Linked DNA regions of Arabidopsis thaliana. The protein of the gene in region 2 interacts with the protein of the main gene of each other region in a pairwise test. Each region holds a gene or a part of one and is shown on either strand. Other genes may lie near its edges.

Region 1 (5,772 bases), on a different chromosome or scaffold from region 2:
GCAGCAGCCATTAGGCTGTTCTTCAACCCTGACAAGCAAAACAGGGCAGACTTCAAAGTTGAAGAATTTAAACGTATAAACATAACATCTAAACGTGTTATCATCAACTCTCTCAATCCTCTCCGCATCAAGCACCGAGTACTGACTCGCAGGTAAGCTCATATACTCAACTGCAAACCATAAACAAAAAGCAAATTCAAAATCAAACAATCCGATCCAGATTTAATCATCCACAGGAAACAGAAATTTAGATCAGAGAGAATCGCGCTGAAGTTACTTAGAGGTCGCTGTAGCTGACGAACGGAGACGGATTGTTTCTGACGAGCGATGAATCGAGCTTTGGGGGTAGAACTAGAGGAGACGCGTATAGGTGACGTAGAAGAGGAAGTGGCGAGAGAAGAAGGTTTGGGTGATTCGTCAAAGGACGATGAGCTAGTGATGGTGAAGGAGAGAGCTGGATTTCTAGGGTTTCGATTCGTCTTCTTCGCCGAGAACGACAGAGAGGTAAGTCTAAGCGTAGCTGAGCTCAACGCCATAGCTAAAACGACGGCGTTTTAGGATATGAGATGTTTAACGACTAACGGCTTAGCTTAAACACACAAGCGAAGGAGAGAGAGTGAGAGAAACGTGATAAGATTATTGGGACGACGAAGATTTGGGAGGTGGCACCACCATCACCACCTGCTTCGACTGCGCATGTTAGCCTGCTGACGTTGTTTCGTTCGCTACAGTTAAAATACGCTGAATATTGAAAGCAAGCCCAACAAGAGCCCGTGAAATGTATATATTGGGCCAACAACGAATAACCTTCGCAATTTGAGTAAGTAAATATGAAAATGTCATGTAACCAGACTCGGTTGGATCCATAACACTTGTCAGTATTTTTGATTAAAATAATTAGTTTTTTTCCTAATTAAAGAGTACAAAATTAATTAAGAAAATGCGAAAAAGAGTTATCTAATTATTGAAAATAATAATGTGTGAGGAATTTGATTACTAATTTTAAAGTTCACAAAATAACATGATTATTTTATTGAAGGTTTTAACCAATGAATCTGTAGTCGTGAAGAAAACACAGGTTGCCACTTCCCATTATTTATTTTGGCTAAAGAGCCACTTCCCATTATTGCCGGGCTAAAAAACCAAAATCACCTTATAATAATATTGAACTTACATTATTAAATCGACCGATTCAAATCATAAACATGCATTACCATTAATCGTATCTATCGTCTTCGTCAACTCTACCGTACAATTTGATAAACATATATTTACTGCAATTCAAGATCTAACAAACTATGAAAATAAATCAAACCAATGCAATAAAATCAAATTCTAAAATGAGAAAATAGAGAGAAAAAGACACATATTGCCATTTTTATTTTATTATTATCATGTTCATTCTATTGCTTTAAAATTGTAGAAAAATGATAATTTTGGTGTTTTATTTTCTAATTATGTTTTATTTCGTAGCACATTTTGATGTTAACACATTTTGTAGTTGAGTTGATTTGATATTTTAACAAATAAAAAGTGAGATGATTGTGAAAGAGGAAAAAAAAATTAAAAAAGAAATAGAGAGGCGGTCAATAAAATTAAATTTAGGAAAAATAAAAAATAATAGAATAAGGGAGGCTAGTGGATAGATAGACGAAGGACACCAGAGCCACCTTCATTCACTTCACAAACCGCTCGGCGACAAAGACGAAGAAGCCGAGGAAGCACCGATACGACGATTGAGACTTAGTTTTGCTCAGATTCATTTAACCACCGGCGCCAAGTGACGACGACGACGGAGGGAGCAGATTCGAATTGTGTGAAGACAGGTAAACTTTGGAATTTTTCCTTCTCAATCTCAGATTTCGATGAACGAGTCTTATCTCTTCCTCTCTCTCCGATTTCGTTCTTATTTCTCTTCATTGAATTGATAATGTCGATTGGTTAATGCCGTTTATCTTCTGTAGCAGCAATGGAGTCTACTGAGTCATATGCGGCAGGTTCACCGGAAGAGCTGGCTAAGAGATCCCCTGAACCGCATGATTCTTCCGAAGCTGGTATTTTCGATCCGATCTGGTCTTCTGTTTTTTTTTCTCCTTCGACTCTGACTCAATTGTTTCGGTATTTCGTCACATTCGTGAATCGGATCTCGTTTAAGTACTCTGTGATATGTCAACGGACATGTGTGATTAATGTCTTTTTTTGCTGATGAAAACTTGTGAGAATGTTTCCTGTGTGATAGATTCATTTTCCAAGGATGGTTAAATTACGCTGTTTCAATTCAATGATTAGCTCAATACTGATGCGGTTTAGTGAACCATGCTATCTATTTGACTATCTAATGTGTTTTCCTCTTTTCAGATTCTGCTGAGAAGCCAACACACATTCGGTTTCTTGTATCCAATGCGGCAGCTGGTTCCGTCATTGGGAAAGGTGGCTCGACCATCACTGAATTTCAGGCAAAGTCTGGGGCAAGGATTCAGCTTTCACGTAATCAAGAGTTTTTCCCGGGGACGACTGACAGAATTATTATGATATCGGGATCAATCAAAGAAGTTGTCAATGGACTGGAACTTATCCTTGATAAATTGCACAGTGAGGTAATCTTTTTTGACAAATTTGTATTTCATGTCACAGTTGCGTTTATTTAGTTTATATAGTATGTCACAATGAAATCAGTTTTAACTTTTCTATCTGTTTGCTAGCTTCATGCTGAAGATGGTAATGAGGTTGAGCCTAGGAGAAGAATTAGACTTGTGGTTCCTAACAGTTCTTGTGGAGGTATAATCGGAAAAGGAGGGGCCACCATCAAGTAAGTTTCCGTTCTGTATTTGTTGCAGCAGTTTCTTTGAGGTTTTCAGACCTTCTATAATCCATAGCCTGTTTCCTTTGACACCATTTCCTACAGCACGCTTAACCACCAAATATCATCTATAATGTATCTGGTTATGTTCTTGCATTGTTTCTATGTTCAAATCTTCTCTGGTTCATATCTTTAAGAGAGCAATTATTTTCTCTGAATGCATGCATAAACAAGTCAAGACCCTATATATAACAGGTGAACAAAGTTTCTGAGTATTAGATATGACTCAGATTGCAGTAGTTTATGCGTATGGAATATCTAGTTCCTTTTAAGTTCTAGAATATGGCATTGCTTTTATGTTTTTTTCCAAGGAATACTGATTTCAGTTGTACTGCTGTCACTAACCCTCAAGACATTTCTTTCTTTGCAAAAAGGTCATTCATTGAGGAATCTAAAGCTGGTATTAAGATATCCCCTCTGGATAATACCTTTTATGGGTTGAGCGATAGGTTAGTGACATTATCTGGGACCTTCGAGGAGCAGATGCGGGCAATCGATTTGATTTTGGCTAAGCTTACTGAGGACGATCATTACTCCCAGAATGTGCATTCCCCATATTCATATGCAGGTATATCAACTCAGTACTTGCTTAGTTAGGTTTGTTATCCTCCTTGAAGCTTCTTTTGTTATCGTGTTCTGTATGTCTTTGATTGCATTTATTCATGTTGGAAAGCAATATAGTAAATGGTTAGATCATTTCCGGAGTTTCCTTTGACAATTGAATTGACACTATCAAATTATTTGTTTTAAGACTGTTTAGTCACTACACATGGACAGGCGTAGATAGGCTAGAAATCACAGTACAAGGTTTTTGATTTCTTGTTTTAGGGTCATGTGAACAATCTAAGTGTCAAGTGTAGATGCTGGATCATATCCCTTGATAAAAATGTAAGATTAGAGTAGGATTTTCTACTGAGTTTTAGATTGTCAGATGTCAACTAAGGTATAGTAATGGCATTTAGTATCTTTCATCTCACATGGACCTTCTTTCCATTTTGAGGGTTGTGTATGATGGTTGTCTGTTGTAGCTTAATTCTCTTGTAAGTTCCTTTAAACTCGGCATTTTAGGTCTTTTCTACTCTGGTTTTCATGGTCCTCCATATGCGTATGCGCTTCCTTCTGTTGCAACAGCGGGATACAATTCGGTTAACTACGCACCCAACGGTTCTGGAGGCAAGTATCAAAACCACAAGGTTAGCCTCTTCTCACAATCTTCCACCCTATTAGTATTTATGCGTTTATATGAATCAATCTCTATTTGTGTTACTACTATGGATAATATGGTGTTACAAGTCATATCTTCCACCCTATTTATGTAAACGCATATATACATGAAAAATCCCTATCGATGTTATTACTATGATTGTTTGGATCAATTCGTACTACAGAAACTTTAGGAGATACCAATGTGAAATCTACATCTGATATTTGTTAGGAATTAGGCTTATTAAAAGGATTGGTGATGCTTTTAATGAACCAAACTACGAAAATAAATTTGATCGGAGATGCAATTCCTGTCACGTCTTACTGTGATAATAAGATGGCATTTTGGTATTTAAACAGCTAGAGATTCGTTTTTTTCTACATTACTTAAGCTGTGTTTTGACATATATTCCAGGAAGAAGCTAGTACCACGGTGACAATTGGTGTTGCGGATGAGCATATAGGATTGGTGCTTGGACGTGGAGGAAGAAACATCATGGAAATCACTCAGGTATTTGGCAACCCTTAGTTAAAACTCTTTCGGTCCACTGAAACTTAAAACCCACTTTTCTTCCCGCAGATGACTGGTGCCCGAATTAAAATATCAGACCGAGGTGATTTTATGTCTGGAACCACTGATAGGTAAAGTTACGATTATTGGAGAGTTACAACAGAACAATGTGTTTGATACCTCTCATGTCTAACTTGATATAAATGGAAAATATGGACAGGAAAGTGAGTATCACAGGGCCACAGAGAGCAATCCAACAAGCTGAGACAATGATAAAACAGAAAGTTGATTCAGCCACAGAGAGAACCACCGATTGAAACCGTTAAGAGAATCCATCTCGGTTCCTATCTTTGGTCTGTTGACTTCATTTGTGGAGGCTTAAGCTATCGGATGGGGATCATTAATCATCTTTGAGTGAGGCAGAGATTTCTCTCTAGGAGCTCTCTTTCGTTTTATTTATATGTCGACATTATATAATGTGTTTTTCTCTGGGAGAGAAGCAGATTTGGAGTTAGAGAAGTACTATTTTCATTTGTTCTTTTAATAACTTTGTTGCAATTTGTTGAAGTTTTGTTTCCCTTGAGTTCTTTCTGTTGTAACAATTTACAATAACCAGCCATTACATTGCATTTGCTTCTTTCTTTTATCAACTATTTTCAGTTCATGATACCAAAACGTGTTGTGTCGGTATAGGACTTAGGAGGATGGTAAATACTAAGCTCTTCAAAAATCAACTCCGTAAAAGTTTTATCTTCTGCTGTTTACACATCAGACCCTTACTTTTCTCTATTTACATAATTCAGATCTTGTAAATTTTCTCCCAGACTCTTCAGTAAATATCAAGTTATGGATCCTGAAACTTTTATTTAACTACAAGTGCTCGGATCTTTTACTATTTACAAGTAAGACTTGTATCTTCTGATAATTATATATATGACGAGGAACAGTTTTCTATTTTCTGAAGTACCCCTAATATTTGGGTACTAAACACAGAAGCACCCATATCCTTTGCTAGTGTACGTAATTGACCCAAACTTTTTAATTAGTATATACACTTGGAGATACGATCTCGCTTCTCACAATCCTTCTCCCTCTCCGGCTCCGAACCATTCACGTTCTCCGGCAGCTCTGGTCATCGCCGCCATTTCGGTTTCTAACTTTATGTTGGTGTTTCTCCTTCCCTTTATTTCTCAGTTAT
Region 2 (6,161 bases):
TCTACTCTTCTCATTATCTTTGCTTGGGGTATGCAAAACTTATGGAAAAATGTCAGGAAAAACTACGAAAAATTGAAAAACAAGAAAGACGAAAATGGTAGAAACACTAAGAGGCAGAAGGAAGAGGACGAGGCGGCGGCAACATTTGACGGAGATTAGGACCACCGGTAGCTTTAAGTATGAAAGGATGCTGCAAAAGCTGTTGAGCTGACCATCTCTTAGGAGGATCACTCTGTAAACAACAAGAAACAAAGTGACGAAACTCCTGAGACGCCGTAGCCGGAGCTTCAGGTGGCTGAGACATACAAATAGCACACATAAGACTAGCCCAATCACCTTGTCTACTCACAGCAAAAGGAAACCTCCCCAAGTAAAACTCCAAGATACTAACACCTAAACTCCAAACATCTCCAGCATAACCATCGTAACGACCATGATTCAAATCAGTATTAATCCTCTCAGGACTCATATAAGCAATAGTACCAACAGATGAATTACAAGGATCCATTGTTTGTGCCAAGATCCTACTCACACCAAAATCAGCAATTTTCACATTTTTAGCTGAGTTTATAAGAAGATTCGAAGGTTTGATATCACGATGAACGATATGACGACGATGAAGATAAGCTAATCCACTAAGAATCTGACGAGAGAGATCAGCTAATTCCTGTTCTTGCCATATATGAGCTCCTTCAAGAGATCCTTGATCCATAAACTCAAGCAAAACCTGGATCTCACCGTTATGATCAAACATATCGTGACATTTCACAACGTTTGGATGATCAACACTTCTTAAGATCTCGATCTCTCTACAGATCTGACGTCTCACGGTATCTTCGTGGTTTCCGTAAATCACTTTGAGAGCGAAAGGACGTGACGTCGGAGTGTGGATTACTTTGTAAACCGTTCCTCCGGCTCCGCTTCCGATTCGGTTCACTCGTTCTAGCTCGGATAAGCTTTTAGCGGCGGAGATGTTGGTTGAGATCGCGGAGGAAGACGCCGGAGCGGATGAAGAGGAAGAAGGAGGTGGGAGAGGGAGAGGTACGGCGAGAGCGACGTCGCGGTGTGGGAGTGGTAAGCTTAGGTCAGGACGTTTGCGTAAACGGTTCTTCATAGGTGAAGCTACTCCAGAAGGAGATTGAATCGGTTTCATGGCTTTTAGAAGAAGAGGGAATCAAAAGTTTTTTTTTTTTTTCACAAGGTTGATTCTTTATCTTCCAGGTTTGTATTTATCATCATGATTGACTTGACTCTAGGGTTTGTTTGATTCGTCGTTTTTCAAAGAGATCAAATCAAGAGGAGAATGAAGCTTCATCGAAGAGATTTGTGAAAATGATTGTAAGAAACAAGAAAAAAAAAAAAAGTTAAAATGGTAAGACGAAGGTACGCGTTGATGGAAAGAGCGTGGAATACACTCGCACTTGTGTGGCTCTGTGTTGTTACACGTTAACCATGTTTTTTGTTTGGTCGGGTCTGAATTGGATTATAATATCATTAAGAGTGTTTAAGATCGTGGATTTAGATACTATAAATTTGGTGTTAGGTATTTAATATTTTTAGAAAGTAAGAAAATACAGATTAAAGTTTCTTTCCAATAAAAACAATTGAAAAAAGAAAAACTTAAAGTAATTATAATTCTAAAAAAATTAAAAACTAATTTTCTTTTTAAAGTTTTTAACAGAAAAAGAAAGAAATAAAATTAAAGTGGTACAGTGTTCACGTGCGATGCATGTGACTTAAAAAATAAGTTTGCCTTCTTTGCCGTCAATTCTTCCGCAGAAGTTTTTTCGAACAATCAATCTCTGACTCTCTGAGTAATTAGGTTTTTTTTTTATCTCATGGCCGGCGCCGGAATCCACCCATACCACCAGCAGTGGCCGCCGGCAGGTGCGCCGCCTCCTCCAGCCGCAGTATCATCAGCTGCTCCACCACATCCGCCGCCCATTCATCACCATCCTCCTCCTCCTCCTGTTTTAGTTGACAACCATAATCGTCCTCCTTATGACGAGGTTCAACTCTTTCTCTTTCTCTCTATACATATCGGTGATTCTTGTGCTGTGTTGTCGAGATGGGCTTGCTTGATTTTTGTTTACGTTGAGGTTTTAATTTGCCTGCTTTTTGATATACAATGTTAGCTTGATTTTGCTACGGAATCGATAAATTGTCCAAAGTTATGACCTTTTTGATAAGAATGATTTTTAAGTTTGTTACTAAAATCTCACTTATGACCTGTTGCATAAGTGAGAAAGGTTCTCTTATCTTGTCATGTAGTTGGAGTTTTCTGATTTTGGGAAAACGTGATCTCTTACACAAGTTTGAATCTGTTGTTCAGCTGCGGACAATCTTCATCGCAGGGCTTCCCGATGATGTAAAAGAGAGAGAGCTTTTGAATCTCTTGAGATGGTTGCCTGGTTACGAGGCTTCTCAGGTGAACTTCAAGGGAGAAAAGCCCATGGGGTTTGCTCTTTTCTCCACAGCTCAGTTTGCAATGGCAGCCAAAGATACCCTTCAGGTCTGTCTGCTTCTGATCATTGTTGACTCAGATCCTTTTTTGTCTTCACATTATGACATATGTTGTTCTTGGCATGCAGCATATGGTGTTTGATGCTGAGTCAAAGTCTGTGATACATACAGAGATGGCCAAGAAGAATCTTTTTGTTAAAAGAGGTTAGCTCTACCTTTATGACATAAAATGGCTGTATTTTATCTATCTTAAGCATTAGTCATGTTACTGAAGCATGTTTGATACAGTTTTGTGCATTTATACGGGGTCTCACTACACTCTCCCCTTTATCTAGTTTCTTACTTCCTTTGTTAATATCACAAACCATATATAACCTTTGAACTCAATCTTTATTCTGTAGGTATTGTTGGGGATTCAAATGCTTATGATCAAAGTAAGCGCCTACGAACTGGTGGTGACTGCACACACTCTGTGTATAGTCCATCTCCTTTCCATCCTCCACCTCCTCCTGTGTGGGGACCTCCTCATGGGTTAGGCATTTGCTTCTCCTTCATATTTCATATGCTGTGTAGAAATTGGACGATGTGTATTTGGTACACCGTTTTATGTTAAGTTGCTTATTTGACAAGAAGATAAATTGGTTCAGATATATGGCACCTGCACCTCCACCATATGATCCCTATGCAGGTTATCATGCTCCCCCTGTACCAATGCCTACGCCCCCACCTATAGCAGCTCCTAGTTCTTATGTGCCTGTCCAGGTGAAGTTGCACTGTTTTCATCATTTTATTTATCATATGGTGGTTGTGCAATTATATACCCGGAATCCATATTGTACTTGCCTCTCCTTGCCTAAAAATTACAATCTCGAACTTCATTCTAATTAGCTTACATGCTATACTCTCTGGTGGTTGTGTTGTGGAACAATAGTTGTTGCCTAATTTAAATGCATTGTCTACTGCTCTGAATTTGCTAAAGTTTCTGATTGTTTGATAAATTTTGTACCTAGTTTGATGAATATCTAGCCTAGGTTTGGTGATCTGATATATGTCTCATGTTGTTTTCAAATTTTTTTCAATTGCAGAATATTAAGGATAATCCACCTTGCAATACCCTATTTATTGGTAATCTTGGGGAGAATATAAACGAAGAAGAATTGAGGAGCCTGTTGAGTGCGTGAGTATCTGTTCCCTTTAGTGAGACTCCTGTCCATTGCTTTCCTTGAGATCTTGGCCTTTTTGTAGACCTGTGTTCTCAAGAATTCTGCGGTAAACTGTACTTTCATTTTGCAGGCAACCTGGTTTCAAACAAATGAAGATTCTGAGACAAGAAAGGCATACAGTTTGCTTTATTGAATTCGAGGTTAACTCTGAGACCTTCACCATCTGTGTATATGTGACAGAAAATATTCTTCTAGCATATTGTTAAATTCTTCTATCTGGACTTGCAGGATGTCAATAGTGCCACAAATGTTCACCATAATTTGCAAGGTGCTGTCATTCCAAGTTCTGGTTCAATTGGCATGAGGATCCAATATCCTTATATACTTTTACTCTTTCTGATTATTTAATATTCCAGTATGCCAAGTTCTTTTTTCTTTTCTGTTTGATTCTTCTTAACCCAATGATACATATTCAAAGAATCCATATGGGAAGAGAAAGGAAGGTGGCGGCTATTCTTTCTTTCCTTCTCCGAGTGCTAATGGAGCCCAAGGAGCCCTGACATATCAGTAGGCCTTGAAGGGGGACGTACTCTCTTCCTTATCTCCCAACAACTGCACGAATACGATGCATCTTCCAGGCAGTCTGCATTTCATCCATTTCCATTCTCGACATTTTTAAGCATCAGCATTGCTTTGTCATGTGTTGGGTGCATATAGTGTGACCTCATCAACATATAACATGTTTCAGTTTCTATTAGCTCTGCTACATGCATTCGCAGTGTGGTTTTTGATGATTGTTTGAATTATATAGGAGTTTGGTTTGCTATTTGTTTATCTTATTGCGGCTTTAATACATCACTTTGTGGGATTCATTTTCATCATTCTGATCGATTCATCCTAATGAAACGTTAGCTAGGAAAAAACATAACATTACATTAGATCATAACATGATAACATCCGGAGGCCTTCCATCAACTTCGTTTCACTGCATGGACACGGAATGTTGCTCTCATGATTGATTCATCCTAACGAAACTCCATTTGCTATGTTAGCTGATATACCATTACATTAGATCATAACATGATAACATCCAGAGGGGTTTGATCAACTTCGTTTCACTGCATAGACATGGAATATTACTCTCATGATCTATCACATCGGTTTCATTCTTCAGCATTTCCCATGTCGATCATTCTCTGTTCTTACTTAGGCTGATGAACAAGCACATCCGTTTTGTCAGAAGTTGACAGCTGATATAACATTTGAAGATAGGCATTCCATTACATTGTAGGTTTATTATAGTTGAGCAAACATATATACATTCCCAGCTCTGGCTTGGCCTTATGCAGGGACAATCCGTAAAGAGAAAGCCCAAGCTCTCGAATAGAGATGCGTTTCACCTACAAAGTTGAGGTAAGGTCATCTTCGGACGTCCAGGAACAGAGCCAGGAGTTCCTAAGAGCCTATCTTTTTACAATGGAGTCTACTTATCCAATCCAACTTATCTCTTTTCTAACTGATGTTTCTGTACGGCTTTGGGCTACTTGACTCTGGATGTGAAAACCAGAAGCGAATTTAGTGATTCTTCAAATGAGAAAGTTTCTCTTCCATTTTCAAGAACAATGTGTGTATAATTGGTCGCTTACTTATCAGATTTTGAGGTATAGGATCTCTAGGGCCTAGTTTCATGTTTTGTTTCTCTGAATTCGAACCATGGTAAATTTGCTGTAAAGAGAGGTAGGTAATATAATTAACCCAAGAGACAACCCAAGAAGAATCGATAAAGGAGTGTCTCAACTCTCAAGTAAGAAACATGTTTTCATTATTATGATTGGCGAGTCTCAAGCTTTCATCACTGTAGACAACAAAGAAAAAGATTTGTTGCACAAAAGGGTTTGTGCATTCCTTAGACCAACTTTCCAGAGAAGCAAAACATCTAAAACCACAAAACCATGGTCTTAAAAGAAAATTCTTAAACGTCAGGTGTGTCTGAGCGCAGAACTGTCAAGAAAAACAAGATAAAGAGTTGGGAGGTTAATAAAAAGAAGAAAAAAAATATAAAACGGAACTGAGAGGTAAAAGATTGAAACCCCTCTTCAAGTTGTTCAAGTAAAGATCATCAAGCAAAAGGTAGAGATGTCGATCAAATTGGTGGAACAAACGCACGGAGAGGGAGGAGAATCGTGAGTAACGTGCCTGGTTTCTGAGGCTTTCCATCGGACCATTTTGGAGAGGGAGAAGTGAACCTTGTCGCGATTGATTGTTTCAGCTTTGAATGGTTCTTTGAGACGGATATACGCCGTCCCCATACTCGTTCTCAGCCCATTTTAGGCCTTTCTGAATTAGGCCCAAATACGTTTACGTGTTTTTAGAGGAAAACTTTCAACGTGCATGTCAAAGACAAATTGTTTGTTTATTTTCTCATCAAGCAAGACAGAGACTACTATTTTGCTTTTTTTAAAAGAAAACGATGTAGCATTTTCCTTGTCGAGAAGCTAAGGAAACCTGACAAAAATGCAAGGGATAACAAACGCA

The links. The genes of interacting proteins can lie anywhere in the genome.
Region 1: the proteins of AT3G21215 (region 2) and BTR1L interact in a two-hybrid assay, tested with the Arabidopsis thaliana proteins (2 studies listed by BioGRID).

What each region holds. Positions count from the first base shown.
Region 1 is NC_003076.8:1,249,721-1,255,492, reverse strand, and holds BTR1L (binding to TOMV RNA 1L (long form)), read left to right. Parts: upstream 1-1,539; 5' UTR 1,540-1,826; intron 1,827-1,967; 5' UTR 1,968-1,969; coding exon 1,970-2,054; intron 2,055-2,358; coding exon 2,359-2,597; intron 2,598-2,702; coding exon 2,703-2,809; intron 2,810-3,234; coding exon 3,235-3,428; intron 3,429-3,928; coding exon 3,929-4,053; intron 4,054-4,478; coding exon 4,479-4,574; intron 4,575-4,643; coding exon 4,644-4,705; intron 4,706-4,794; coding exon 4,795-4,891; 3' UTR 4,892-5,245; downstream 5,246-5,772. Other genes in the region: AT5G04440 (RAP release 2, galactose-binding-like domain protein, putative (DUF1997)), read right to left, coding at 1-170, 278-536.
Region 2 is NC_003074.8:7,440,909-7,447,069, reverse strand, and holds AT3G21215 (RNA-binding (RRM/RBD/RNP motifs) family protein), read left to right. Parts: upstream 1-1,757; 5' UTR 1,758-1,838; coding exon 1,839-2,009; intron 2,010-2,332; coding exon 2,333-2,512; intron 2,513-2,591; coding exon 2,592-2,667; intron 2,668-2,864; coding exon 2,865-2,994; intron 2,995-3,110; coding exon 3,111-3,225; intron 3,226-3,548; coding exon 3,549-3,640; intron 3,641-3,756; coding exon 3,757-3,826; intron 3,827-3,914; coding exon 3,915-3,997; coding exon of another isoform or gene 3,998-4,034; exon of another isoform or gene 4,035-4,094; coding exon 4,095-4,197; 3' UTR 4,198-5,619; downstream 5,620-6,161. Other genes in the region: MKK5 (MAP kinase kinase 5), read right to left, coding at 107-1,153.